Rattus norvegicus: one gene and its partners. The protein of the gene in region 7 interacts with the protein of the main gene of each other region in a biochemical or structural test. Links are inferred from orthologs where the notes say so. Each region holds a gene or a part of one and is shown on either strand. Other genes may lie near its edges. The genes, in order: Irf1, Zfp955a, Cbx1, Fbp1, Ube2i, Ubc and Trim28.

The links.
Region 1: the proteins of Trim28 (region 7) and Irf1 form a complex in vitro, tested with the Homo sapiens proteins (2 studies listed by BioGRID). The link is inferred for Rattus norvegicus from reciprocal best matches to the Homo sapiens genes TRIM28 and IRF1.
Region 2: the proteins of Trim28 (region 7) and Zfp955a form a complex in vitro, tested with the Homo sapiens proteins (2 studies listed by BioGRID). The link is inferred for Rattus norvegicus from reciprocal best matches to the Homo sapiens genes TRIM28 and ZNF93.
Region 3: the proteins of Trim28 (region 7) and Cbx1 form a complex in vitro, tested with the Homo sapiens proteins (3 studies listed by BioGRID). The link is inferred for Rattus norvegicus from reciprocal best matches to the Homo sapiens genes TRIM28 and CBX1.
Region 4: the proteins of Trim28 (region 7) and Fbp1 form a complex in vitro, tested with the Homo sapiens proteins (2 studies listed by BioGRID). The link is inferred for Rattus norvegicus from reciprocal best matches to the Homo sapiens genes TRIM28 and FBP1.
Region 5: the proteins of Trim28 (region 7) and Ube2i form a complex in vitro, tested with the Homo sapiens proteins (6 studies listed by BioGRID, with this or other methods). The link is inferred for Rattus norvegicus from reciprocal best matches to the Homo sapiens genes TRIM28 and UBE2I.
Region 6: the proteins of Trim28 (region 7) and Ubc are reported together in a solved structure, tested with the Homo sapiens proteins (2 studies listed by BioGRID, with this or other methods). The link is inferred for Rattus norvegicus from reciprocal best matches to the Homo sapiens genes TRIM28 and UBC.

Annotation. Positions count from the first base shown.
Region 1 is NC_086028.1:38,416,733-38,420,734, forward strand, and holds the start of Irf1 (interferon regulatory factor 1), read left to right. Parts: upstream 1-1,202; 5' UTR 1,203-1,391; intron 1,392-2,391; 5' UTR 2,392-2,396; coding exon 2,397-2,483; intron 2,484-3,826; coding exon 3,827-3,926; intron 3,927-4,002. UniProt on the Homo sapiens protein: Transcriptional regulator which displays a remarkable functional diversity in the regulation of cellular responses.
Region 2 is NC_086025.1:13,417,361-13,421,651, forward strand, and holds the start of Zfp955a (zinc finger protein 955A), read right to left. Parts: upstream 2,801-4,291; 5' UTR 2,732-2,800; coding exon 2,711-2,731; intron 2,651-2,710; exon of another isoform or gene 2,415-2,650; intron 1-2,414.
Region 3 is NC_086028.1:82,265,266-82,269,561, forward strand, and holds the start of Cbx1 (chromobox protein homolog 1), read left to right. Parts: upstream 1-1,496; 5' UTR 1,497-1,717; exon of another isoform or gene 1,718-4,296. UniProt on the Homo sapiens protein: Component of heterochromatin. Recognizes and binds histone H3 tails methylated at 'Lys-9', leading to epigenetic repression. Interaction with lamin B receptor (LBR) can contribute to the association of the heterochromatin with the inner nuclear membrane.
Region 4 is NC_086035.1:2,227,207-2,230,706, reverse strand, and holds part of Fbp1 (fructose-1,6-bisphosphatase 1), read right to left. Parts: intron 2,775-3,500; coding exon 2,682-2,774; intron 1,338-2,681; coding exon 1,197-1,337; intron 1-1,196. UniProt on the Homo sapiens protein: Catalyzes the hydrolysis of fructose 1,6-bisphosphate to fructose 6-phosphate in the presence of divalent cations, acting as a rate-limiting enzyme in gluconeogenesis. Plays a role in regulating glucose sensing and insulin secretion of pancreatic beta-cells.
Region 5 is NC_086028.1:14,795,455-14,799,753, forward strand, and holds the start of Ube2i (SUMO-conjugating enzyme UBC9), read right to left. Parts: upstream 2,801-4,299; 5' UTR 2,733-2,800; intron 2,078-2,732; exon of another isoform or gene 1,939-2,077; intron 1-1,938. UniProt on the Homo sapiens protein: Accepts the ubiquitin-like proteins SUMO1, SUMO2, SUMO3, SUMO4 and SUMO1P1/SUMO5 from the UBLE1A-UBLE1B E1 complex and catalyzes their covalent attachment to other proteins with the help of an E3 ligase such as RANBP2, CBX4 and ZNF451.
Region 6 is NC_086030.1:36,899,065-36,903,299, reverse strand, and holds the start of Ubc (polyubiquitin-C), read right to left. Parts: upstream 2,801-4,235; 5' UTR 2,734-2,800; exon of another isoform or gene 2,171-2,733; intron 1,001-2,170; 5' UTR 998-1,000; coding exon 1-997.
Region 7 is NC_086019.1:82,727,895-82,732,066, reverse strand, and holds the end of Trim28 (transcription intermediary factor 1-beta), read right to left. Parts: intron 3,897-4,172; coding exon 3,761-3,896; intron 3,680-3,760; coding exon 3,563-3,679; intron 3,493-3,562; coding exon 3,378-3,492; intron 3,248-3,377; coding exon 3,101-3,247; intron 2,998-3,100; coding exon 2,883-2,997; intron 2,775-2,882; coding exon 2,668-2,774; intron 2,572-2,667; coding exon 2,535-2,571; intron 2,449-2,534; coding exon 2,403-2,448; intron 2,315-2,402; coding exon 2,062-2,314; intron 1,875-2,061; coding exon 1,555-1,874; intron 1,450-1,554; coding exon 1,326-1,449; intron 1,243-1,325; coding exon 1,156-1,242; coding exon of another isoform or gene 1,078-1,155; coding exon 940-1,077; coding exon of another isoform or gene 854-939; coding exon 680-853; 3' UTR 501-679; downstream 1-500. UniProt on the Homo sapiens protein: Nuclear corepressor for KRAB domain-containing zinc finger proteins (KRAB-ZFPs).

The DNA of each region.
Region 1 (4,002 bases), on a different chromosome or scaffold from region 7:
CGGACAGCTAGGGCGAGGAAGGTGACACAGGAGAATGACACCATAGAGGGTTGATGTAAATGCTGTGGGGAAGTGAAGGAAGAAGCCCGAGGAGCCAGAGTTCGGCATGGAACATGTACACACTAGCCCAGCCGCTAGGAGAAAACAAACTGGCAAGGTTTACTCTTGCGCACTAGTTAACCCGCTGCCCTTGCCAACCCTCTGGGACCTGGGTCCCCGATTCTGGCCACAGTTTCCCTATGCTGCCCGGAACTTCTCCAGAGCCAGGCTTTGGGGACTCAGAAATGCCTTCAAGACTATCAGAGAGGAACTTTCTCCCAAAGGCTACAGAGAGGATGTAGAGCTGAAGCAGGAGTCCTAGAAGGAACCACAGTCACTTCTGAATTTTCTCCACTTTCAGGTAGTCCCAGAGATACAAGGGAGAAGGGTCACCTTGTTCACTGCTAGAACCTCGTGAGGCACAGGAAAGCACACACACCATCTCTCCCCATCAGGACGCGGTGTGTCTCCCTGAAACTCCCATCGCTGCAGACTAGTGAGTGGGCTATTGCCATTTTGAGGTTAAGGAAATTAAGAGTCCCTGCGTCCTTCAACAGCTGTGCCTGCAGAGTCCAGGCTGGGAGTTCCTACCGCCTTGCATTCTAAGTTAGGCCTTCTGCCTCAACTTCTCAAAGCAGCAAGTGGCCGTTAAGAGAGTTATCATCTAAAGCAGTATAGGGACCGAATCCCTCCCTTTTTGACACTTCATTACCAGACTGATTTTCAGGGTGATTCGGTCCGGGGGTCCCTTCTGGAGAAGGAAGCAGGTGTTCTGGAGACCTAGGGAGTTAGGTGTCTCCGGTGGAGGAGAAGGGGGAGACCGCCACATGAACCAGCAGGCTAGGAGCCTACAGGACGAGAGGGAGGGCCTCGGCTTTCCAAGACAGGCAAGGGGGCCGGGGGTGGAGTGGAGCACGGGGCGGGCCCGCGGGAGCCCCGGGGCGGTGGCGCGGGCCGAGGGGGTGGGGAGCGCAGCCGCCTTGTACTTCCCCTTCGCCGCTTAGCTCTACAACAGCCTGATTTCCCCGAAATGATGAGGCGAAGTGGGCCAATGGGCGCGCGCGAGCGGCCCGGCGGGGGCGTGGCCGAGTTCGGGCCGGGGAATCCCGCTAAGTGTTTAGATTTCTTCGCGGCGCCGCCGACTCGCCAGTGCGCACTACTCCTTCGTCGAGGTAGGACGAGCTCTCACTGTCTGAGCCAAACCGAACCGGGCCGAGCTGAGCCGAGGTCAGCGGTGGCCAGAGGAACCCAGCATCTCGGGCATCATTCGCTCCGTGCACGCATCGTGTACCTACACCGCAACTCCGTGCCTCATTCCCGGGTACCCTCTGTGACTCGCTCCTGCAGCAAAGGTAAGCCCGCCGGGGCTGCACGGGTACGGACGGGCGGCGTGAAACAAAAGGCGCCCGGGGCACCAGGAAGTGGGGGCCAGAGACACCCTGGGTCGGGGTGGCTCGCTGGCTGGGGAGGGCGCCGCGAGCGAGCGGCCGGGAGGCGGGCCGCGGCGTGCACCGCCCCCTGGCCGCGCTCGGCGGTCTGCGTGCGCGGAGCCGCTGCGGGGCCTCTCGGTAGCCCAGAGCGGCCATCGCGCGCACCCGCTAGCAGCGCCGGGGACTCGGATGTCCGCCCGCGCGCAGTTTTGGCGGTCGCAGCTTGACGCCTGGGCTGTAGGTTTCGAACGCGCAGTGTTCAGTGGCAGAGGTTGGCTCGCTGCCTTGACTGGCTGGACCCGGTCGTGAACTACAAGGCTTTCGGGAGGAGGTGCCACAGGTGTTGCTTGCGCCACTTCTCTTTGCAGCAGGGGAAACCAGGCCGGAAGGGGTTGTGCCCCGGGCTGTATGTTGTGGGCACTAGCTGTCAAGAGGGGATGTAGTCTGGATTGGAATGGGTGGGGGGAAGTGCCCTGGAGGGTGACTTGCTTGCCCAGCCTGGAAGGTGTAGAGCTGGGGGTGACAACAAGCAAAGCAGTCCCTTCCATCCTCCAAAGATTGAATTTTGAGAAAAAAAAGTTATGTGTTTTGCGCACCCCCACCCCCACTTTTTTTTGTACATATATCCTGAAACCATTCAGACAGACTTGCTTGGTTGTTTCTTCCTGAGGCTGGCTGGGAGAGACCGAGATAATGGGCAGGTGGCTTTGCCTATGGTGCTGCCAAGTTTCATTCTACTGTAGGGTCCTTTCTCTATGACTGTGGGACCTGTTACCTGGTTGATGGCAGGAGAGTGGGGGAGGGTAACGACCTGGGTGAGGACCGGGGAAGGTAATTGAGTGATCGGCCTTGGGTGGAGCAGGGCAGTGCCCAGGATTGTTTAACAGACTCTAAACACAGGCCTTCTGTCTTCTCCCTCCAGCCACCATGCCTATCACTCGGATGCGAATGAGACCCTGGCTAGAGATGCAGATTAATTCCAACCAAATTCCAGGGCTGAGCTGGATCAATAAAGTGAGTGTTCTCCTGGGTATTTCTGCTGTTTTAACCCATGTTCTCTTGGGGGGACTCAAGTTCCATTATCGAACATGAGAGCAGGAAAATGTGTTTCCTAGTGGGTGCTGCATGCCAGAACGGCTAAGGTCTGACTTCTGCCGCTTGCTTCTTCCTTCCTGAAGCTGTGGCCAGTCCACCCTCCTAGTGGCAGGCACAGTCTCAGCACCAAGACTTCCCAGCATCTGCAGAGCCCGGGGTCTTCTCTTCCAAGAGAAATGCTGTATCCCTAACATTCCACATAGCTCCAGTTGGATAGACAGGAGACAGAAAAGCGGTCGATGCTGGTTAGGAACAGGGCTAGTTAAGTAGGAACCCAAGAAGTCACAGTTGGCACACCTGGCAGTAGAGCAGCAGTGACAGCATTGGTTATAATGATTATGTGCTTAGCACCGTTTAAATATGATACCAAGTTGCACATTTTAATTGTCATAGTAATCCTGAGAGGTGGGTCTCAGAGAAGGAAACTGAGGCACTTTAAGATAGATTACAAGGTGGTAAAAAGTGTGAAACCCAAACTTGGTTGAAAATGGATACGTTAGCCAGTAGTAACAAGAATGGTGGTAAGATCCTCATCTTAGGGCTGGCTCAGCAGATAAAGGCACCTTCCAGCAAGCCTGACAGCCTGACTTTGATCCCTAATCTCCTCATGGAAAAGGAGAGTACGAACTCCTACAGGTTGTCCTTGGACCTGTACACGGGTGCCGCGGCTTGCGCGCACGTCCAACACGTACACACATAATACATGCATAAAAATTAAAAAATAAAAGCAAAACCTTATTCATTGTGGCTGTTGTCCCCACACATAGATAAACCTTTTCTCTTTGAGTTCTGTCTTATTTAAGGGGAGAGGAATAGGCCAGTACTATACAGGCAGTCCTCATCCAGGTCTGGCCCAGGGCTCCCTTGGGTGTATGAGCAGGACCCTATATAGGAGCCAATGTGCTTGGTGTCCTGAGGAGACTGCAGCTAGAAGTTTCCATGTTCCAATGCTCATTAGCCAGAGATAAACAAGCAGCCAACACCTGCCAGGCCAGGGCCGAGAGGGCACTGCTTAGGTTCTTGCTTACCCCAGGAGCTAAGGCAGGGGTGTCTTTGTTGACCTTCTAGTGCTGTGGCTCGTCAGAACTTAGACCCCCTTCCTAAAAGATGCAGAGCGCCTACCCGTTAAAGGCAGCTGGGATGGGTCAATCTAGGCCAGATGTCGGGGTGAAAAGGGGAAGTCAGCCTTTTCCCATACTTGGGGACCCGTGCATACTCAGCCGCACTCGGAGCTGACACAGTCTTCTATGTGCACTGTTCAGGAAGAGATGATCTTCCAGATCCCATGGAAGCATGCTGCCAAGCACGGTTGGGACATCAACAAGGATGCCTGTCTGTTCCGGAGCTGGGCCATTCACACAGGTGTGCAGGGTGGGGGAGGGGCAGAGGAGAGACAGAGGGGATACAGGCTACCATCCATGCTCTGGGTGGCCTCTCA
Region 2 (4,291 bases), on a different chromosome or scaffold from region 7:
TAAAAAGTTATGGAGGTAACCGACAGCTTTCTGACTGAATTTGAGGCCCACTCCACAGGAGTCATAAAATGTCAATATATCTCTACACAGTAACATCCTACTCCACACTCAGTTCTAGGTAGGTTACATAAACTAATAATTAACAAGAAAACCTGAGGGTTAAACTGTAACAGATAAAATGGATGTATGCTACTCAATAGAAAAAGAATCCATTCTGTTCTTCTCCTTTGTTTGGAGACAGAGTATGACTCCGTAGCCCTGGTTCACCTAGAACCCACTAGCCTAGACCAACTGGATCATGTTGGCTTTGAGCTTAGAGATTGCCTCTGCCTCCTAAATGCTAGGATTCGCCACCATGCCCAGAAGTAAGAATCCTGTTCAGCAATCCAGGCAACCTCTTCTACTGTAACATACAAAAAAGGCAGATGGGGCTGGTGGCTTAGCCAGTTAAAGTGCCTGCCACCTGCGTGATAGCCTGAGTGGATATCTGGGCTCCACATGGTATGAGAAAACAGATGCCTACAAGCTGTCCTGGGACTTCCACAGCTGTACCATACCAGCATCTCCCCCAGTCCCCACCATGTATACACAGAAATAAATAAATACAATTAGTCGATTGAAACACAAATTTTTTAAAGATGCCAATACCTGTAGTACTACAGAGATGGCTTAAAGACTGATCAGTGCATGTGAATGTGTGCGGAGAAATTATCCTGCATTATCTCATGTTTAGAAAACCAATGAAAAAAGGGGGTTTCCTCTATTATTTCATAATACAAAGACAGTAGAAATGTGTTCTATTATGTGAGCCTGAACAAGATATGCCACACTGTAAAGAGGGAGCGGGGATTTCCAAACAACACAGACCCCTGTCATTGCTTTTGGTCACCAATCACAACTACGCTTTAAACGGAACCACTGAAGGAACCACAGACTCTGGCCGCAGGGCATAACAAATCCTGCTGCTCTCTAGCTTTCAAGATTCCAGAAGGTGCGATGCAGGCTGCTGAGGTGAGAAAAGGCATAAACAGTCTTACTGACCCCGTGCTGGACCCTCCGTGTGGCAATACTGATCTGCCAGGCAAGAGCCACAAATGTTACAAGGGTAGCTAACCACTTTAAAAGTGTATTTTAAGGCCTCCTCCACAGGACAGAATTCCATGTCTGGGACTATAATAAAGGTCAAAAGACAATGGCTGAGGAGTTCGTAGGCCCGAGGACAGTGCCTGATTTTGTTCTTTTGCTAAACTGTTACACTGCCAGTATGCCTTACACATATTTATATTTAGCCTCAGATCTGGCCACTAGCACTCAACCTAGATCACGGATGCTTCTTTCTACAATGGGCAGTGTTAAGTCTCAAATCCTGGAACAAAAGGATGAAGTGCCTACTTAACATGTCAACGCAGGCACTGATGATCAGGTTCTCCCAGCATCCCTCAGCACCTATCCATTATGGGCCTTCTTGGCTGGCATATTGCCCCCTACTCTGAACTCTCCAGCCCAAGGCTGTTATTTCTATGTAATCAAACCATTTTGGTCACTCACCTTTGTACCTCTGGCCTCCTGGCTGCTGCCTCCAGTTCCCCTCTCTCCCCTCTCCTTTCCCCTCTTCCTTTCTCCTCACAGGGCTCAGGGTCCTCTCCACTGTGGACTCTCCAAAATGTCTCTGCCTCTGGCTATGCTCTCCCTGTTAGCTACAATAAACTTTCTCCTCCACCATACCTAGGAGCAACTTCAGGTCCTTCCTTTCTCTTTCTTTTTTTCATTCTAGGAGCAGTCAACAAAGAGATGTATAAAAGGTCAAAAGAAATGCTGACAATAAAAGACAAAGTGCTCAGTTGTAAATGGGACATCTATACCTAACCCCCAGCTGCGTCCACCACAGCTCAAGGAGCATCTTGGAAGAGGAGGCAAAAGGAGCTTAAGAACCAGAGAAGACAGAAAAATACTGCGAAATGCTGGGCATGGAAGAGTTCTGTGATATGCTGTCTTCTGGACATGGCAGGGATATTGTACTTAGGAGCTCACAAAGCTGTGGGGAGAGGTACAGTCCAGGCCCACAACTTACTAAGTAGTTACTGGCAATTAACAGTATTTTTGGAGAATAGTTCTGTTTAGAAGAAGTAGCCACTGGTAAGGTTCCCTTTCCAAACATCCATGCACATACTCGCAACACTTACTGGGGGAATAATAAAAATGATGATGATGATGAAGCTGGAAGAGAGGCTATTGGAAATATATAGGACTTTGAACGAGAAATAGGGATTGATTTTCGAGACTAAAGAGAAATTTTTAAAAAGAACCCAGAAGGATCACAGGGGTAAGCTAAAGCAGGTCGAGTGGGAGTACAAGGGCGGGCAAACAGAACTCTCCACCCACTCCCCCCGCGTTGGAGTCTGAGCAGCACTAACCAGTCAGCGCTGCAACGTCTGCAGCAGCTCAAATTCGTGACCCGGACTCATCCTGACAAGACCTGAACTACAGTAAAACAGCTTCACGGCGACAGGACAGGACACCAGACTCCCTTTTGGCTTCTCTGCTCACAATTCAAGAGCAGGTGGTAAGACAGAACCGGAGATAGACTCCTCCTCACACTCAGCTGCACAGCGCCAGGGGAACGTCAGGGCGGCAGCGCCACAGTACGCCACAGTCACCGCAGTGTCACAAACCCGCCACAAACGATTCAAGGAGCCCAGGGCACACTCACCATCTTCTGCTTCCGATGCATCCAGGTGTCCTCCCTAAGCGAAAACACAGTCAACAAGGTCGATGGAGCACACCTCTCAACGGTTTCTCGGGACTCAAACATGGCGGCAAAGGCCGCACCTTCCGAATATCCAGGCTTCTCATTGGACGGTTAATGCTAAGTCGTAACAGCTTTCCTGATTGGCGACTGATAAGCGGGGCTGCGGGACCCGGTTGGGTTGGAGATGGTGATCATCTAATAATCAGGAGAGCATCCCTTCCCTGGAGGGTTACAGTCAAATGGACAGGTGTCAGTTCCTTGTTCTGGGATACACCTGTTTTCCTTCTGGGATAAACCTGGTCCAATCTGGAGTAACCAAGTATTTGAGAAAAATACGGTCAGGGTTTTTGGAGCAACTTTCCTGGCGGTGTATATAGTGGACCACAGTGGAGTTTTCCACTTAAAAATACTGCAACAAGATTGATGGGGTAGTGTGGAGATTCAGTACTTCAGAATCAAAATACATGATTACACGGTAGGAGAGATCCCTAAAATCAGTCTGGACACGGGATCAGAAGAGGGACCTGACATGTAAACTCCAGGATGATGCAGGTGAAATAAACTGAACCTTCTGTAAGGCTGATATATTGATATCAGTTCTATTGATATAGAACACCAGGAATTGGAAAGGGTTTAGACTGTTACAAGTCCATTACGTTGGGGGAGTTTTTACCTGACCTAACAACTATATGACTACTGTGAAAATCATTTGGAATATGCAATAGAACAGTAGTTTCCTTTGGAATGTACAGAGCACTAATTTTGTAACCACCCAAAAAGACAAGAACACTATTAGAAGGCCTACTCCAGACCTTTCCTCCTTTATAACCTGTCCACCTTATGTTTCCACCAAGGCAAGAAAATTAAAATACTCCAACAAGGATACAATTATTCAATGTGAGAGGTATATGTATCTGTTTGTGTAGTTACATTGTAGCAATAGTATACAAAGGACGCAAGAAGTATGAAAGGGAACTCTTAGAGTTCTTCAAAAGAAAAAAAAGGGGGGTTCTATACCCGGAAAGCCTAGTTCACAAGTGCAAACATCCCCAAGACTCCGAATCATAGTAGCTGCTGTCAGAGACCCCCAGAGTCATTATTGATGAGTCAGAGACACTATTCCAACAGTATAACTCTTAGAGGTCCTTAGGACATCTCTCGTTTCTTCTATCATGAAATCTTTCTTTCAATATTTTAATATTCATAAGAGGAACTGTGTAATCCCCATTCATATTAATGTTTTACCTAAAGAAAGCTACCACATACTTTCACTCATATGTGGAAACAACAATCTGGAAATAAAAACAAAAAAAAAGACAAAACAAAAGTAGTAGAGGGACTATTAAAGAAGAACATGAGGATTTCAGAGGCTACAAGAAAGAGAGGAAATAATAAAGCAGTCATTAGGAGGTCAGATATGATCAATCCATAATATATATCACATATATATGTGACAATATGTCACAAGGAAAGCCATGAATAGGTTTAAAAATATGGATTAATAATTTGGCTAATTAGATTTTGAGGAATTTTTAATTCTCT
Region 3 (4,296 bases), on a different chromosome or scaffold from region 7:
GGGCATCAGATCCCATTACGGATGGTTGTGAGTAACCATGTGGTTGCTGGGAATTGAACTCAGGACCTCTGGAAGAGCAGTCAGTGCTCTTAACCACTGAGCCATCTCTCCAGCCCCTAGTATTGTCACTATTAAAGTTATCCAGAATGCATGGGTTGCCGCCTGGTTTTGGAGGCTTGACCCAAGTATTTTCAGGAAGAATCAGACTCTTTTGACTGATTTTTGTATGATATTGTGAAGCTAATCTCTCTTTTTCTTTTGTCTTAAGTTTTTTGAACAGGAAAGTTGTCCTTGTTTTGGTTTTTTGAGACATGCTCTCATTCTATAACCTAGGCTGGCCTGGTACTCCTTACATAGCCTAAGCCTCTCTTAAACTCACAACAATCCTCCTGCCTTAATCCTGAGTACTAGTACAAGAGGTCTTGGAAAATTTGATCAGTTCTATTATCTGTTGGACATCTCATATATTCACTTAAACCGACTATCAATGAATTTTTACCAATAAATACTGAGAGTCAAAGCATGACCGTATGCATGCTAGCAATAAGCACAGGACTTTACTGAGTGTGGCGGATACAATGAGTCTTCTGTCCTTACTGGAGTTCCCAGCCCAACAATTAGCAGCAGCAACCTACCTGAATCACAACTAGTGCACTTGTTAAAGAATGACAGTCGTGCCTTTTGCTTAGTTCTGTTTCTCTAGTTTGATAAAGTTTGTTCATGGAGATGAAGAAATCACCATGAAAGTCGCCCACTGGCAAGGACAACAAAGGGAAAGTTTTGCATGTGGTGGCACATGTCTGTAATCTCCGCATTTGGGAAGTGGAAGCAGGAAGATCAGGCGTTTAAGTGCTTCCTTGAGACCCTGTCCACTCAACAAAAACAACTAAAGTGAAACAAGAAAAAAGGAGGGGGAGAGAAAAAAAGAAAATTAAGAAAGTGGCGATGGTGTCTACCTAGAGGTTTAACTTTCTGAACGGAATACTGATTCAAACTGTGAGGTAGGAACCTCTTCTAGGTGGCAATAATAGATAAGCTTGCTGGACATTATTGAAGGTGGAGATTTGATAAATCTCAGGTAACGAATATGATAAGATTTTTCTTTTAAGTGCAGAGTGACCAAACATCAACGTGTTAGTTTCCAAACCCCCGTGTCCTAATTTTGTAGACTGAGCAAGGAGTACTAGCATGCCCCTGAAATCCAGCACTCTGAGGTTTGAAGCAATTGAAAGGCCACAACTTCCGAAGCCAGCTGGGCTACGTACCCTGTTATTAAACAAACAAACCCCACCATTACCCAGTAATTTTCTAGGCTGTAGAGTTATGTGTTCAAAACAGTCGACTTCGCCTTTCCAGAAAGTTAAAAAAAAGAAACTACAAAGAAAACTCTACAACTCCTGAAAGTGGAGGTGGGCGGCGCGGGATTCGCGGCACTCTGGGATTTGTAGTTTCGGGCCGACTCTGAATCCCAAGTTGCCCTGCGGCGGGTCGTCGCGTCTGCGCAGTGCAGGCGGCGGGCCGCGCAGAGTGAGAATCTCTTTTGTTCGGCTGAGGGGAGGGCCGTTGGCCGGGCCTGCGGTACGCCGCTTCATCTGGACGACCGACTTGAGGCCACACGGCTGTTTGCTCCTCTGGGTGCTACTCCCTGGGACCGCCTGACGCAACGCGCAAGAAGCGCGACACCGATTCCTCTCGGACTGTCGGGCGCTGCTACGAGGTGAAGAGGCGGGCTGGAAGCGGGAGGGGGAGCGACGGCGGGAGGCCGCGGGCGAGCGCGGGCCGCTAACGGAAGAGTGGAGACAGGAGCTGGGGACGCGGCCCAGCGCCCGACCGGTCGGTTTCCCGCGCAGAGCTCGCGGTCTGCGGGAGCGTGGAGAGGGCGGGGCAGTGAATCCAGAGTCCGGGCGCGGAGTGGTTCCTGAGGAGCGGAGCCATCGGAGGGTTAGCTTTTCAAGAACTAGACGAGGAGCGTTTGACCCGGCTCAGCAACTCTGGAGTTGGGCGGGAGAAGGAAGAAAACTTTGGGACGTCCATAAGGAGACAGGCTTGGTACTTTGGGTGTGCGTGGCAAGGATCACGACTTCGTACACTAAAGGTTTAGAAGTGTAACCTGAGAGAGTGGACACGGTGGCAATCGCGGGCAATCCCCTTAGCACTTGGAGGAAAGAAAAAGAAACCTGAGGATATTGGGTTCAATTGCCACTATCAGAGAAATTTCTCTTGCCAGAGTTATGAAAAAGTAATTTCCAGTAAAATTGGACGTGGGCTGCTCCGGGTGTGCTAACGGGGAAGAGATTTGTTGAACCTGTCTTGGGGTGAAGGGTCAGACATTTTCTTGACCTTGTCTAAAAGTGGAGTTGCTGGGGTAAGTAGGGTAGAAGTCTAACGTGTCCATGTCAAATGTGGAAGAAAAAAGGGGTACTTGGGGGTGTGTAGCTTAGTTGGTAGAATGTTTGCCTACCCTGCCGCAAACCCCTGGATTCAATCCCCAGTATCCCATAAATTAGGCTGGGTGTGATGGCCTGTACCTGTAATCTTAGCACTTGGGAGCTGGAAACCGGTGGATCGGAAATTTAAGGCCTTCCTTGGCTACCAGAGGAGTCAAGGGTGAAAAGGCCACTTTCTGCCTTTAATAGGTCTTTATTGTGAGTAGGGAGGCTGTATGAGGCAAGACTCATCAGATAAAAAAGGTTCTTGCTGTGTAAGCCTCAATTTAACTCTTAGGATCCAGGTAAAGGTGGAAAGAAAGAGTTGACTTCACAAAATTGTCCTCTGATTGACAAGTGGGGTATGGCAGGGACCAAAGAAAGCAGGTCCTGCATGCCCACAGGCATCGAAAATAGTTTTATACTGAAACACAGTATATGAAATATGGAACTCGGGGCTGGGGATTTAGCTCAGTGGTAGAGCGCTTACCTAGGAAGCGCAAGGCCCTGGGTTCGGTCCCCAGCTCCGAAAAAAAAAGAACCAAAAAAAAAAAAAAAAAAAAGAAAGAAAGAAATATGGAACTCATTTCGGTATTTGGTACTGAGGACCTTGCACACATGCAAGTTGTCTACCACTGAGTTATGTTTCAGTGCCATAAAAAGTCTTAAAAATTATATACTAGTTATATATATTATATACTAGTTACACTAGAATATAGTGTCCTCTCCAGTTTTGTGTTAATCAAAAGATCTAAGGTTTTCTGATAGATGTATGACTATAATCAGGATATTGGTGCCTGTGCTCTTCCTTGGATGCTCTCTAGGCATATATGGGAGGTGGTGTGTTGAAAAGAGCCCAGTTATCTGTGAGTACAGCCAGCATTTGGGGGGTAGAGGCAGGAGCAGCAGAAGTTCAAGGCCTAGGGAAAAGAGTCATATGTTCCTTAAAAGATTTGGGCAGTGAAAGCATTTCTAATTTTCTATCTAGTCACTTTTTTTTATTTTTTTTTTATTTTATGTATATGAGTACACTGTCCCTGTCTTCAGACACACCAGCAGAGAGCATCAGATCTCATTACAGATGGTTGTGAGCCTCTATATGGTTGCTGGGAATTGAACTCAGGACCTCTGGGAGAACTCTTAATTGCTGAGCCATCTCTTCAGCTTCCCTTAGTTTTGAAAAGTGGGGGCGGGTGTTCCATGACATACTTATGGAGATCAGGAACAACTTTGGGGGTGGGGGTCATTCTCTTCTGTAACACTTGTTCTAGTGATTGAACTCAGGTCATTAGGGTTGTGGGACCTTTACCTGTTGAATCAGCCTGATACCCCCATTTTCCAACTTTGAGGACTGGACCTAGAAGTTGGTATGTTTGGATTTTATCATCTTTTTTTTTTTTTTAAATTCATTATATATAAGTACACTGTAGCTGAAGAGGGCATCAGATCTCATAACAGATGGTTGTGAGCCACCATGTGGTTGCTGGGATTTGAATTCAGGACCTCTGAAAGAGCAGTCAGTGCTTTTTTTTTTTTTTTTTTTTTTTTTTTGCTTTTTTTCCGGATCTGGGGACCAAACCCAGGGCCTTGCACTTCCTAGGTAAGCGCTCTACCACTGAGCTAAATCCCCAGCCCCGCAGTCAGTGCTCTTAACCACTGAGCCATCTCTCTCTACAGCCCCTGAACTGAGATAGGTGTGCGCCATCATACCTAGCTGACAGTTTCAATTTTTTTAAGATTTATTTGTTACATATTAATTACACTGTCTATGTCCTCAGACACACCAGAAAAGGGCATCAGATCTCATTACAGATGGTTGTGAGCCACCATGTGGTTGCTGGGATTTGAACTCAGGACCTCTGGAAGGGTA
Region 4 (3,500 bases), on a different chromosome or scaffold from region 7:
GGTTTCTATTTCTAAAAATTTGGGCCACGAACTTACAGGAATACTTCTGTATAGTCAGGAAGACAAAATAAATATCTCTACCTAAAACATCTGAAAAAGGAAACCATCTCACAGCAAGCAACCGGAACTACCAGCAGAGCTCGGGCCCCCGTGCTCCCCAGGCAGCCATCTTGGTACCCAGCCTGAGTACCCAGAAGGTGAAGGAGAGTCTCCCACATAGAGAGACAGGAGCTATAAAAGCTCAACGAAAGCCGAAGCCTGCTAGAAACCCACTTGTAGCCACAGGTGGGTCTCAGCCTAGCAGTCCTGGCAGGGGAGACACGAGGAAAGGGAGAGGCACTTAGCCGTCTCCCCGGAGTAGTCTTGCCTCCATCAGGCCAAAGAGAGCGAGCAAAAGGGTGCAAATCGAAACTATCCCTGGCAATCAGCAAGGGAGCATTCCAGCGGCTGCACTGATCCAGCAAAAACATCTGTGTCTGGGGAGGGAGAAACCCAGCCATTCACAAGCCCGGATGCAGTCGGCAGTCAAGAGACTGAATTTTCCCCCAAATGTCTGTCTATTCAAAAGTGAGAGCGGGGGCACCGGGAGCTCATCCAGAGGACTGGACAAGCTGGACAGGTGACACTTTGGCAGTCATCACTGCTTTCAGAAGCTGTGCCCTTCTCTCAGATTAAAGTTCCATCTGGACCTGCCCTGCTTTCCCCTGGGGACTTATGCCGAGATTTTGATTCGTGTGGCCACCCCTCCTCTCCGGTATTAGTTGATTAATTAAATGTTCCTGCCCCCAGGAAGGTGAAAGTGCAGTTTTGTTAAGCATGCACAGATCAAAGGTAGAGATCATGCTCTGATTTACAGCACTTTGCCACACCCCGAGCAAATCTCTCCCAGGCCTCTCACAGAGGACGCCATGCTGTGCTTTGTACCTTGTGTGCGTGGTTTTTGTTGTTTTTGGTTGTGTTTTGTTTTGTTTGGGATGGGGTGGGGTGGGGGGAGAAAGAGGAGAGAGCTGAAGAGATGGTTCGGCACTTCCTGCTCTTCCAGAGGACTTGGGGTCAGTTCTCCGGGCCCAGGTTAGGTGGCACGCGCGCGCGCGCGCGCGCACACACACACACACACACACACACACACACACACACACCAACCAGGTCCAAGCTCAAAGCTACTAGCTAAGTACTCGGTCTAAGGGATGTCTCACCGGGTCCAGCATGAAGCAGTTGACGCCACAATTCATGGCCAGGACCAACATGGTGGCGCTGCCATAGAGTGCATAGCCTGCTGCCACCAGGTTCCTGCCTGGCTGCAGAGCATCTTTCTCCGAAGGCTCATTAGCAGATGTCTAAAGCAAAAGAGAAAACAAAGGCACGTTTCCACTTTGCTTCGTGGGGTCCTTTTTCTTTTTCCAGTCCAGCCGTCTAATGCAATGGTTCTCAACCTTCCTAATGCTACCACCCGTTAAACGTGAACCGCCCCCCCCCCAGCCATGAAATTATTTCCGTTGCTGTTTCATAGCTTTTTCTACAGTACTAAATCGTAATATAAATACCCTATATGCAACCTCTAAGGGGGTTGAGACCTATATAGGTTGAGAACCATTTGCTTCCTTGAAAGCCACTGATGTCCCAGGTGTTGCTTTTCTCCACACACCAGCAGCTCTCTGATTGCAGTGGGCTTCCTGAAGGGCCCTGGCTTCCGGCATCGGGATCTTTCTTTCCATCTTAACATCTTTCTAATTTGATTTTCCCTCGTGTCTCTGTTACCGCTTCCAAAAGCAACGCCCATTATCACCAGCCCCACGAATGTAACCTGATTACAGGCCCCAGCACCTTTCGCCTACCTTTTCTATCTTTATTTAAACAGATTAGCACAAGGGCTGCTGGGCTGAGCGTCTCATGAGAAAATCGATTCTGTGAGCTGTTGTCAGTTGAAGTATACGCTCACTGAGCAGTGTGGTCAGTTACTCCCATGGCAAAGAGATTCTCAGAAACATAGTTTGTAGCATCTCTCTGGCGTTGTCAGAGGACAAGCTAGGTGCTGGGGACAGGGCATTATAAAGCTGGTCTCACAGAACCCGAGAGGGAACGGAGGTTACCAGAGGCTTGGGGGGAGGGGGGCGGGCAGGGGAAGAAAAGAAAATTTGTTTTCCTTTTTTCTTTTTTCTTTTTTTCTTTTGTGGTTTGGATGGTTGGTTTCCCTGGGGCTTTTCTCTCACAAGGGCAGACAACCATTCCCTTTACGGTTCCATTCTCGGTTATGGGAACCAAATACTTTTTAAGGATATTGCCAGTTACTAGAGCAAGACTAAACTAAGAGAGGTGGGTCGTCCCAAGTGAGAAGACTTGTTTGGCTTTGTTCTCGGTATCCTATGAAAAGAGCTCAGGGGTGGGGGAAGCTTTCGGCTTAAAGAAGAAAACAGTGGGACTGGTTGGGCTGGTTTGGGGAGGTTGTCACAATATCTGCCCTGTCTTTTGTGAAAGAGAGATAGCTGAGAGTGCGCAATGGCCTCTCGGTCCACCAGCATTCTACCACTGTATCTCAGCAGCTCTGTGGACCTTTCTTGCACAGTACATGCAAGGTCATAAGATTTTGCTGCACATCTGTTCAAGCCACACAGCTTTATGCTCTATGCTTATTTTTTGGTCAAAGCCAGGGGCTGTGTGCATTTCACCTTAGTTCACTTTACCTTTCTGTAAATGCCAAAGATGGTTCCGATGGACGCGAGGCAGTCGATGTTGGATGAGCCATCGAGGGGATCAAAACAGACAACATATTTGCCCTGGACAAAGAAAACAGAAGGCAAGCACGGTGCGTAGGTATTGAGTGGACTTAAAGGACAAGGCGGGGAAAGTGGTCTTATCTATTTATATTCTGTTTGGGAGTATGCGAAGATGGATGGACAGATGACAGACAGACAGGGAGATAACGTATCATTTAGAACAGAAAGTAGGGAGTGATAGAAAACAGATAATTAAATCATTGTTTCCTATGCCACTGATATAACTGAATCATATTTGGTTTGAGAGTGTCCTGGCAGCTCCAAAGGAAAAAAAAAGCAAAACAGAATTAGTCATTTGTTTCTCTTACTTCTAAGGCCTCAAGGCGCTGGAAGCCATTCTTAGTACTTAGGCTTGTAAGAAGACATCGTTGTCACTCATGTGTGGTAGAAGCTACTTGTAGAGAGACTATTACAAGCCTCACCAGTCAATAGAGAAGCCAATGGCCAATGAACTGAGGCAGGAAACAGGAGGTGGGACACTGGCAGGAAGAGGGGATTTTAGGAAATAGTAAGAAGTAAAAGAGAGCTGAGGGGAGAGACGAAGGAGGCAAGACAGGAGGAGGACTGAGGAGACGGACATAAACCAGCAGGTAGATGAGTTCAGAGAGACGCTGAGGGGGACGCTGAAGAGATGAGAAGCAAAAAGTGGGCCAGGACTGAAGGATAGTTAACCCAACCAAGTTGTAGACATAAAATAGTTTAAACGGTTAAATAAGTTATCAGCTA
Region 5 (4,299 bases), on a different chromosome or scaffold from region 7:
GATTACAGGCATGAGTCACTCCACCTGGCTCCTAGACCACTTTTTCCTTTCCTTTATTTTTGGAGACATTCTCACCATGTGGCCACAGCTGGCCAGAAACATACTATGTAGACCAGGCTGGCCTTGACAATTATGCACCACAGCACCCTAGACTGCTTTTGATGACTGTACAAGTACACAAGTAGAGAAAGGCTGGGACTGCCATCAGAGGTGGCAGCATCACCCAGGAGCCTAGAGTTCAGGAAACATTTTAGTGGGTGAGGTCACTTTTAGACAAACGCCTGTATTGGCATTTTTTTTTTTCCGGAGCTGGGGACCGAACCAGCTAGGCAAGCGCTCTACCACTGAGCTAAATCCCCAACCCCTGTATTGGCATTTTTAATATCCTGTACACTCTAAGCCAACATGAAGAAACTTTCAGAAGCACAAGCTGGGAGTGGTGAGATAGCTCAGCAATTAAGAGTACTACATGCTCTTCCAGAATACCTGGTTTAATTTCCAGCACCTACATGGCAGCTTATTTGCCTGTAACTCCAGTTCCAGGGAACCTGACAACCTCACATAGAGGAATGCAGATAAAACAACAATGCACATAAAATAGATTCTAAAATTAAAAAAAAAAAAAAAAAAAGCACAAGCCGCCAAGACAAGCCTCGACAATGTTGGCATTCCTAAGCATACCTAGCTCTATCAAACATCCTGATTCCTTTTTTATAAATCACAAAAGGCAGCACCTATGTTCCACAGCTCCAGTCCCAAAGCACAAAGTGTACAAACTAAAGGCAAGGCTCCTCTCTTACCGACCTCAAGTCTAAAACACAGGGTCCAGCCCAAACCCAACTGTCTTTCCCCAGCAAGGAGTAAAGCCTGTCTGCGAACAAGCACAACCACGGAGGTTCTGGCCACCCCAACACCTGCCCTAATAATAGTCCTTGTAGTCAATGTAGGACCCAGGTGGCATCCATCTAAGAGGACAGGCAGTTTGCTGGCCACAGGGGCTGCTGATAAGAGCAAGCTTTGACAGCAACGCCCAGGTGACACTGGCGCACCTGAGCTGTCTGGTTAGAGGGTATGAGGGCAGAGGTAGACCCAAGGACATCAATGGCTGGAGCAGGGCACAGAAGCCTATGTATCCAATGTGTCCCTCTTCTCAACTTCTCAATGCACAAGCCCAATCTCGTCCTCGGGCTTAAGGGTACAAGCACTCTAGCTTCTTTAACTAAGGGTAGGCAGTGAAGGAGCTGCTCTCCTCACCCAGCCAGTCAGATGGCAGAAGATCCCAAGCAAGTCTGGGCAGGGTTTCCAAACAGGTCTCTGGACCCCGGGTCAGTTCTCTGAAGAAGCCTGGACACTATGCTACACAAGCTGTTGGACAGCCATAACTGACCTCAGGAGAAAGTTGTGTGCCCAGAAAACTCTGTCCTAGCATCCAACTGCAGTTATCCTAAGTGAGAAGAACCGAGAAGCTAGCTCAAGTGGTGGCTCGTGCCTGCACACTCAAGTGTTAAGGAGACTGAACCAGGGGGACCCCCAAGAGTTCAAGGTTAGCCTTGGCTACAAGAGATGCTGTCTCAAAAGCAGGGAGGCAAAGTGAGAGACGGCTCTTACCAGAGCTCTTAAAGGTCCCACGGTCAAAGAAAAGGAACCCTAGAGACACACTGGCAACGATCTAAGCAGAAACTGGTCCTTGAGACAGTGCCGCTGCTCCCGAGAGCGGTAACAGTCACTCCACGAGCTAAAGTTTTGTGATGTAAATACACCCCTACCCCCGGCAAAGAAAAATTCGAAGGAAAAAACCCCCAAAAAACAACAAAATACAATCCTCTCCCCACTACTAGAGACCGGCAGAACACAGAGGGATGGGTCTTTCTACCACCTCAAGGTTCCTGCAGTGTGCAGTATTCGTCTGGCGACACCACCTACTTCAGAGTTACTTACCGGTCAGAGAACCTGTGCAAGGTTGCTTATCTCCGCCCACCTCGGCAGAGGAAACGTGGGTACCGGCCACTAAGGCTGGCTTGGATAAGGCTAAGCGGCCTCTTCTACTCGAATGCACACTCTAGGCCCTAAGGATCCTTCACTAAGTATACCACGCCGTTTCTTGAGTTTCTAGTGGCAGAGACAGCCAGAGGAGGGCAGGACTGCAATCACTCACAGCCTGAAAACCTTTAGAATCAAAACAAATTCCCCTTTGATACCCGTTTTCTGCTATGCAGAGAGGTAATTCATCCACTAAAACGGTTCCTTAAGAAAAAAGAACAGTGGGGCAGAGAACATGCACAAGACCCCCACAAAAACCCAAACTACAAGCCTAGCGTCTCAGCAACGAACGAAGTAAGCCAAGCCTTCTGCTGTGACTCCGGGTGCTTACAGGCCGCGACACGGCCCAGTGCCCACGGCCTTCCTGCACTCCCGCTCGCCTAACTACGGAGCCCAGCACCGCCCAGAATGTGTCTAGGAGCTACTGGGAAGCTCAGATTATCTGTTGTGGGGTCGGCGGAACTCAGTACGCCAAGAGTAGGGGGGTAGTGGGCCGTGTTCCCAACCCTGCATTCGCCCATGGCACAGCGGCTGGGCCCTATTGCCCCGAAGGCCGAGACTCGGAGGCGGGAGGAGGCCGCGAGCGAGAGGAGGCCGCTGTGGCTCCGCTCGGCGCCTCCCGGAAGCTCACTGGGAACGGCGGCGACTCCAGGCGAGGATTGGAGTGCGCGCGCAAGCCGGTGGCGGCTCACCTGGGCGACCGCGGCCCGGACCGTCGCGGCGGCAGAGGCGGCGGCGCTCCTTTGTCTCGGGACTTCCCTCCGCGCCCGCCGCGCGCAGCCCGGAGCGCAGGACCCCAGCGGGCGGGGCGGGGCGGGGCCTGAGTTGGGCTGCCCGCCGCACGCCTGCTCAGCGTACCGTCTTTCCGGTCCGGCAGCCTACGCCGTCTATTTAAACATGAGCTTCGCTCAGCCCTTACTCGGTTGCTGCGCTCTCGTTGCCCGCGACCACCTACAGAGCTGGGGCCCGGGGCGCCTGTCCAAGCAGGCGGTCCCCTGAACGGCCGCACTCTTAAAGGGGACGCGACCTAGGCTCAAGGGAGCGTCTGCAAACTCCTCATCGGGATCAGCGCGTCCACTCGAGGACACATCAGAGAGTCGTGTGAAGAAAAGAAAGCATAGATTTCCAAGGGTCATTCGGATGCTCAGAGGGCACCTTACCAGGCACAGGCTCTGGAGGTATCCTTGGGCTCAAGGCCCGAGTCCCGGGAGCAAAGATCACTGAGGCCTAAACATCCTGGGAATCGTCGCAGTACGGTGACGATCCCCGGAATACGGGGCGTTGAGACATTTTCTGTAATTGGCTAGCCCTGGAATTTGGGCGGGGTAAATCTCGAACCTACCCAATGAACGGACCTAATACAAAGGACCAAACGCAAACAAAACCGACGGGGAGAGAAATGTGGAAGCTCCCTAACCTACGAATTAGCCCTCGGTGGGGGAGGGGAATGGGCCGGAACCATGGGGGAGGGGCAGCACCCGAGAACTCCCCCGCCCCTAATCCTCTCCCCTATGCTGCACCCCACACCTCGTTCCACCTGAAACCCCTGCGCGGCTTCTGTTGGCACCACTGGACACGCTGTTGTCACTCCGTGGCCTAGTCCAGTTTCCTCCGCTAGTCCTCTGCAACCCAGCTCGGTGCTCGGATGCTTCCTCACCGACTCACCGACGGGACGGGTACTTAGAAACGTCGGCTGGCCCCCTGGTGGCCATCCTGGCGCCTGCTCCATTTTTTGGCACGTGCCGGAAGCCTTCGGGGCCACTTGCAGCCAACAAGGGCTTCCTGGGATATCTCAATATGAGCCCTGTGTTGCTGGAGACTTCAGTGTTTATCTGTCAATGTCTCCATCCATTTACTAACCTTCGTCCTCGTCCTCCTCTTCTCTTCTGAGGCTGTTGGGTGCCCCAGAACAGAGACCCAGGTCCCATGCCCTTTGCCCATAATTGCCCACCGTTCCCTGGAGCTCACCCTGTTAATTTCTCCAGTTCTTTGCCGTACTGTTTTAGAGTTAAGATCACGATGAGCACCAGATCCTGAGGGACCTTATTCTCTCATTGGGGCTGAGTTGTAGATGAGGTCTGCTTAGATACAGGTCCGTGACACCCAGTTGTGGTGGTTGGTGACCCCAGCAGATCTGTACCCCCAACAGAAGGCATCTATTTTGGATCCATCCCAGCCTGCACAGCAGCTTCCAAGACTGGTGGCTCCTGGGCACCTACATATGTTGACCAAGAGCAGCCCTGACCTGTGCATTGTACC
Region 6 (4,235 bases), on a different chromosome or scaffold from region 7:
TTGCCTTGACATTTTCAATGGTGTCACTGGGCTCGACCTCCAGGGTGATGGTCTTGCCTGTCAGGGTCTTCACAAAGATCTGCATGCCCCCTCTGAGGCGAAGGACCAGGTGCAAGGTGGACTCCTTCTGGATGTTGTAGTCTGACAGGGTGCGGCCATCTTCCAGCTGCTTGCCTGCAAAGATCAGCCTCTGCTGGTCAGGGGGGATGCCCTCCTTGTCCTGGATCTTTGCCTTGACATTTTCAATGGTGTCACTGGGCTCGACCTCCAGGGTGATGGTCTTGCCTGTCAGGGTCTTCACAAAGATCTGCATGCCCCCTCTGAGGCGAAGGACCAGGTGCAGGGTGGACTCCTTCTGGATGTTGTAATCTGACAGGGTGCGGCCATCTTCCAGCTGCTTGCCTGCAAAGATCAGCCTCTGCTGGTCAGGGGGGATGCCCTCCTTGTCCTGGATCTTTGCCTTGACATTTTCAATGGTGTCACTGGGCTCGACCTCCAGGGTGATGGTCTTGCCTGTCAGGGTCTTCACAAAGATCTGCATGCCCCCTCTGAGGCGAAGGACCAGGTGCAGGGTGGACTCCTTCTGGATGTTGTAGTCTGACAGGGTGCGGCCATCTTCCAGCTGCTTGCCTGCAAAGATCAGCCTCTGCTGGTCAGGGGGGATGCCCTCCTTGTCCTGGATCTTTGCCTTGACATTTTCAATGGTGTCACTGGGCTCGACCTCCAGGGTGATGGTCTTGCCTGTCAGGGTCTTCACAAAGATCTGCATGCCCCCTCTGAGGCGAAGGACCAGGTGCAAGGTGGACTCCTTCTGGATGTTGTAGTCTGACAGGGTGCGGCCATCTTCCAGCTGCTTGCCTGCAAAGATCAGCCTCTGCTGGTCAGGGGGGATGCCCTCCTTGTCCTGGATCTTTGCCTTGACATTTTCAATGGTGTCACTGGGCTCGACCTCCAGGGTGATGGTCTTACCAGTTAAGGTTTTCACAAAGATCTGCATTGTCTATGGAAAAAAAAACAAAAAACAAAAAACCAAAAAACAGGTCAGGAATGACACAAATTCTTTAGAGTGCCACCAACCGTTGGATCTGTGAGGTGGCTAGTAGTTTAGTCTAAATAGCTACACAGACTGTTTTGAATTTTACCCCCTAAAACCAACAAGAAAATAAAAGTCTTGATGGAACAAAGTTATGAATATTAGGCATTGTCTATTACCAAGTTGGCAGGGTGGAGCGTTCAGTACGGAACTGCTGAAAGTCAGTCCCTGACTATTTGCAGTTTGGAGAAAAGCCTGACCCACATTTCACCTTGGGGGAGGGGGGTTTAGGAGGACCCACTCCAAAGAAGTCAGAAACTCAAGAGCTTAGAAGGCAATAGTTGGAAATCCCGGATTCAGGTCCCGACTGGTAGATAGAGCCAGTTACTACTACAAAACTGAACTATGTTCATATCTTTCCTCCCAGCACTGGGGACACTGAGGTGGGCAGATTTCGTGAATTGGGAGGTCAGCCTGAGACAGTGAGATCCTGCCTCAACTCTCCTTCCCCCAAGCTTTTGTCTGAACAATTAAACAGTAGTTTACTCTTACTCTTATCCTCTTAACCTCTTACTTTCACCCCATCTGTCCCTTCTCTCCCCATTCTCCTCCCTGCTCTCTCTCCACATGTTCCGACCAGCTTTACTCCCTCCTCAACTCCCCTTCCCATGCCCTGAATAAACTCTATTAAAAAAAAAAGTAGTCTGGGGTAAGTGGCACTGGCCTTGGACCTCATCACATGGGTGGTAGAGGCAGAGATTTTTTTAAAGTTTAAAACCCTTGTCAGGCTGGTAAGATGACTCAGTGATTAATAGCACTGACTGCTCTTCCAGAGGTCCCGAGTTCAATTCCCGGCAACCATATGGTGGCTAACAACCATTTGTAATGAGATCTGATCACACCTCTTCTGGTGTGTCTGAAGAAATAAATCTTTTTTTTTTTTGGTTCTTTTTTTCCGGAGCTGGGGACCGAACCCAGGGCCTTGCGCTTCCTAGGCAAGCGCTCTACCACTGAGCTAAATCCCCAACCCCTGAAGAAATAAATCTTAAAAAAAAAAACACCCTTGTCTAATAAATAGTTTCCGCAGCCATATCCGTGTAGCGAGACAAGGAAAGACTCAATGTAAGTCAGGCTCACGTTCCCCCTCTGAATTTCCGGTTCCTGTTTACTCTGGAGAGGCTACCCGAGGCCGAGACCCAAACCCGGTCCTACAACTGAGGGAAAGCTAAAGCCATCGTCACTATACACTGTGAGACCACACAAACCGCGACGTCACAGGGGCGATAGGCTAGGCTGGACCGCCACCCTCCCCCTCCCTTCCCAATCGCACTCCTGTATTTAGCAACCGACGAATTCCGGATAACCGACATCTCCCTCCCGTCTAATACCCACAGTTCTCACATCAGAGGCTCCTACAGCGCGCCAACCGAATTCAGTTCCCAACCCAAGCCTCTGACGTTCCCGGCTTAACCGGCGGCAAGCGGCCTCGCGGGCCTGCTTCCCCCAACCTGGTCCAGCGCGTCAGGACCGCGCGTCTTCCCCCTCAGGCTTCCATTTGGCCGCCATCTTGCCGCCCGGTCCTCGGCCTCAGGACAGCAGCCGTCCTCGCGGGCCACGGAAACCAAACGTCCGGGCCGCGGGCTGTCTCTCGCCCCCTCCCGCCTCCCCGCCCCCGCCGGGTGTGGCGGCTTTCTCCTCACCAGCGGTGTTGGCTGCAGTCCTCACAAAAGAGTAGAGACGGAACTGGCGGTCTCCACGGAACTAGCTGCGGGACGCGAGGCGTCTCTTTATATAGTCATCGGGAGCCCCGCCCACCCCTGGATTCCTCCGCGGAAATGCGGTTGGGGACTACTTTTTAATGCCCGGTCCAATCTCTGCAATGGAAGCGACAGGCTAAAACCATTAAGATCGCTTCATGGGGTTGTTCCACTGCGAAGGCCAGAGAGTGAGGGGCTTTGTGTGGAGGGGCAGGACTGCGACCTTGCGCGACCCCGCGGAGGGATCAGCGCCTGTGACGTGATCGGCGCTAAAACCCGGCAGGGATCACTGCAGCCGGAGCGGACCTCGGCGCAGGCGCACTGTGGCTAAGCGAGCCGGAGACCCACCAACTACCCCCCACCCCCTCCGTCAAGGGTCCCAGTCGCCTCTTTCTGTTAGGGGGACCTAGGGCTTTGGCTCTTGTTACACTGATATTCCATTGGTGGCCTCGGCTCCTAAGTTCCCTCACCTCGAGTCGGTCGTCACTGTGCCCAGCCCTCTTTGTTTTGGCACGGTGACAGGATGGATGACTGTGCAAATCTCATAACAAGGGAAATGACAACGGTTTTTTTTATTTTTTATAAAAAAAATGGGGGGGGGGGGGATCTCTCCCCAGTTTGGGAAAACGAATCTGAATTCGTCAAGAAAAGCAGTCAGTCCTCACAGTTCTTGAAAACTGTTGGCATTAGATCTGAAGCCCAGTGGGCACTAGATCTTTCCAGATTCTTCCTAAGTCTGTTTATGTCTGGTGTCCTTGGATTCGAGAAGGTTCTGTTTTCTGTTCGATTGTCACTAAGGAAAGGTCAAAATATCAAAATGTTGTTCATATTCTGAGACTGAACCCATCGAAATCCTATTTTTTTAATTTTTGTTGTTCAGACAGGGTTTCTCTGTATAGCCCTGGCTGTCCTGGAATAGGCTTCGTAGACCGGGCTGGTCTCAAGTTTACAGAGATCCTTCTGCCTCTGCCTCTAAGTGCTGGTCTACAGGGCTACACAGTGAAACCTCGTCTTGAAAAAAACCAAAACCAAACAAAAACCCACACACACACACAAAAAGTACACGTTTAGTACAATGTTCAGATTACAGCAAACATATACCCCACTTGTAAAATTCAGCCTATTCAGGTTTTTGAAATGTAAGGCCTGAGACCTTAGAAGGTAAGAATTGAATCCCTAGGGTAGAGAGATGGCTCAGCAGTAAGAGCAGGTCTTCTTCCAGAGTTCAATACTGAGCAACCCTGTCAGGCAGCTAGCTTACAAAGGCCTTTGACTCCAAAGCTTCTCAAGGCTTCAAGGAGGTCCAATGTCCCTAGGGGCACTCACATACATGTAGCATGCACACACACAGACACACACACTATTAAATGCCTTTAATCTCAACCTTTTTCTTTTTTGAGATTTTTTTTTGAGACAGGGTCTCCATATGTAGTAGCCCTGGCTAC
Region 7 (4,172 bases):
ACCAAAGTGGGCTGGCAGCATCCAGACAATGCATACCTCCATCTAACACATTCAGTGAGGTGTTTAATACTAACAATCCATGACAACAGATGAGATTTAAGCTAATGACTGTCTACTCATTATGTGCTGTTATGGGTCATAGCAAGGATAATAATTCAAGTATTAACGCATACCTTCAATCCTGGCACCCTAGACGTAGACAAATCTGAGTTAAAGGCCAGCCTGGTTTATATGTTTCCAGGATAGCCAGACTCTGTAAAAACAAGAACCCCTTGAGAATCTACACACAACCCAATTTGAGTGTTAAGCTTTTGAGTAGCTGCAGGTCTAAATATGCTATCTGGCCACTGGGAGGCATATTGCACACTTGAGAACTCCAAGTTTCACCAGAGACTTGTACAAATAAATCTTTCACCCTGCCAAATGAGGTAAGGTCCCCTGTAGAGTATCATGCAGGCAGAGTCTAAGTCCTCAGGAACAGTCCCCAAACAGCTGAGGAATGAGCGACTGACTCAGTGAAGTTTTTATTAAATCCACAGAAGTAAAAACCATTTTGTGAGGAGGGACTGAGGGATGGGGCCAGCAAGAACAGGTAGTCAGGCCACCAGAGGAAGGACAGGGTATGGGTTGAAAATACAGAGACCAGAGCTGGACTGGGCTGACCACAAGAGCCCCAGCTTCAGGGGCCATCACCAGGACCAGACAGCTCCTGAGAACTTAGGCCAGCACTGGGAAGGTTCAGTGGTGGTGGTTCTACCAGCACAGCAGAAAACTTGGTGTCACCAAAGGCATCATTCATTCGTGTCTCAAAGAAGCGCTGGAGGCCGATGATGGACTGAACATCTGCCTTGTCCTGGTCCAATTAAGAGTACACTGGTGAGTGGGTTCTGGCTTTTCTTCCCCCTGCTGCCCCCTCCCCACTTCATTCTGCAGGCTCACCTCAGTCAGCTTATTGAACTGTTTGAACATGCGGCCCACATCCTGGGCAAACTCCTGGGGGGAGCTATAAGGAGGTGACAGCTTCTCTTGGAGGCGAGCACGAATCAAGGTCAGGTCTAGGGTACCACCAGGCTGCTCCTGCAGGGAGAGACAACAGACATTGAGTGGGGCTACCAACTTGACACCTGCAACCTCTCCTATTCTGGGACTACTCACCATGGAGAATGTAGAGTCGGTAGCCAGCTGATGCAAGGGGCGGCACGGTTCATGGCAGAAAAGGGCCAGCAGAACACGCTCACATTTCTAGACAGACAAGAGATATGAGAGTTGTAGCACAGAAGGCCTTAGCTACTGGGCCACCCAACACATGTGCATTCGGCCCTCACCCGCTGGTTGGCTGGTGAGAGTTTAGCTACCACACCAGTGCTATCTGCTCCATCCAAGCTAAGGCTTCCATCTTCCTCCTTTAGATCAGGGAGCACGTGGCAGAGTGAGCAACTCCATTCCTCCCTAGGATGAAGAATAATAGGAGTTGTAAAAGATGACAACCAACTCTAGTTGTAAAAGATGACAACCAGCCCTCCACGATCTGATTCTGCCTGGCTTCACACATACCCTGGAACATCCTGCAGGGAAGGGAGGTGACAATCCAGGTGGAAGCAAAACTCGCACTGGTTGCACATGACCAGGTCACCTGGCTTCTGGCATACACGGCAGATAGTGGCACTGTCATCCAGGATACCTGGCCCACTTACTGGGGCTGAGGTAACCTCAGGAGCTACCACCTCCAAGCCTGAGCTGGTACTGCCACTAGGTGAAGCTAGACGAGGTCCCTCAGCCCCAGGGCCTTCAGTCAGAGCCATCAACACAGGCTTGGTTTCAGGCCCCTCAGGGGCAGCAGGAGGGGCTCCAATAGCAGCTTCTGTCTCTTCTTCCTGCAAGACAGATTGAGTGTTAGTATCAGAATTAGTATCAGAATCTAGGGTAGCAGGTTTCACTCTCTAAGCATCATCCTGTATGTAATTAAGACAGGCTTACCTAGGAAGCGCAAGGCCCTGGGTTCGGTCCCCAGCTCCGAAAAAAAAGAACCAAAAAAAAAAAAAAAAAAAAAGACAGGCTTACCTTGACAATGGCCATGCCAGGCAGGGGTGGGGCACCAGGGGCTCCTGGTGGCACAGTCCCAGCCTGGCCAGCGGCTGCTGCAGCAGCACCACGCTCAATAACAATTAGATTGTAGTCCTCAGTGGTGCTTCCAGGAAAGACCTTGAAGACTGGTGGCTGGCTATCAGAGGTGAGATCCAGATCCAGGCGTTCAAGGCTCACACGTGGCACCTTCCTCATGAGGCCACTTACTTCTCCCTCACCAGAGCGGGACCTATTAGTATATCTTGTCATGAGCTCACATGCATCCCTACCACACCAATCCTGTACCCCCTGCTACTTCAATGGGTTGCCATACTTACCGCTTCATGCCTGATACATGTGGCTCTGCACTTGAGTAGGGATCATCTGCTCAGAAAACAAAAGAGTTGGCAGAAAAGACAAAGACAGGGAGGGTACTTACCAAGCCCAATTTCCTAGGCAAAGCTACCTACCTGTCCCAAAGCCATAGCCCTCTTGTACTTCCATGGGCTAAAGACAGAAGAACAGAACATGTACCATCAGCAGGGATATAAGTAAACCCCCATGGCCCTCATTCCCTCTCCTTGGTTCCTCTACCCAGCTCACCTGGCTACTACCAGAACCTTGCTTGCTTAGGGGGCCTGGGGCTCTTGGAGGAGCCATGGGCCCAGGACCCGTGGAGTTTGTACCAGGACGCTCAGCCACAATCTTACCTGAAGAAAAGAGAAACCCCATTAGGCACAATACTGCTTTGAATGCTCCCATGGTTGAGCAAAAAAAAAAAAAAAAAAAAAAAAAAAGCAAAGGACTAAGTAACCTACCAAAGGCTTCAGCACTCTTGGTCCAGGCATTGAGATCCCACTGAAACTTCATCTCACCATGAGGCTCCACAGGATCCACAATCATTTTGAGGGCCCGATGCAGCTGGAAATAAATCTAATGGGGCAAAAATGTAGCACATAAGCATAGTTGGCAACTTACAGGATCCCAAGGTGCTGAGGGGCCACCTAGCTGAATAATGAAGGCCACCACTACACACCAGCTTCTTAGAGAGCAAGAGGGCTGTATTGTTATCACTCTCCAAAGCCCAAGAGGCAAAGCGCAAAATGTGTTCCTGGTGCTTCTGGATTTTGGTCATGGTCCAGTGCTGACGCTCCAGACGTTCCTGCTGACCCTCAGTCACCTTCTGCAAGTCAAGGAAAAAACAGCCTCATTAAAGAAAGCAGAGCACTAGGAAGGATCCTTCTCCACCCTGGATACTGTCATGTCAGCCACCAGCAGAAGCAGACCAATACCATTCCAGCACTAAATTTTACCTGGGCATCATTGACCAGAACTCGTCCCCGTTTATTCAGCTCCTTCATGATCTGCAGAATGGCCATCTTCACATCAACCTGCACTCGCTTCTGCACATCAGACACCTGGCGGATCCTAATGGACAAGTCAAGTCAAGCCAGAAACCTTGCCCTGGGACCCCAATAGCCCTGGCACCGGAACTTACGAGCTTCGAACCTCCTTGGTGTTTTTCTGCAGTGTGGCATGTTTGTCCCCAAGACGTTTCACCAGTGAAGCCAAGAGTTTACGTTGGTTCCTTACTGCATCTTCCAAGAATTGGTACCTGAGACCACAAAAAAAAAGTGAGCCTGCATGCAAAACTTAAGAAATGGTATCCAACAACCCCCTACGCCTTGAGACTCACTGGTGGTCCTTGTGAGCATTGAGTTGGCAGTCCCGGCAAGTGAGCGTGTCACAGCTCTCACAAAACAGCACAAGGGGTTCATGCTTGTGCACATTACAATAGACTGTTCGTTCTCCATCTCGAGTCTTAGCAGGACCTAAGAAATAGGAATTGCCCTTAGTCACCTCCAACTCAAGCAACAAAGAAAACAAACCCCTTATAACCCTATCCCAGCTTTTCCCAAAACCCTGGCCCATTTATTAAGACCTAGATCTGGAAATTTTACTCCCAAATGACCACACCAACTAACATTATAAGGAATAAAAACAAGCTTATGAAAAGACAATCTACTTACTATTTCTCAGTTATCTTTCCATCTGCCAATGAACCATTGCCAAATAAACAAGGTCCTGATGGCTCAGAGTACTTAACA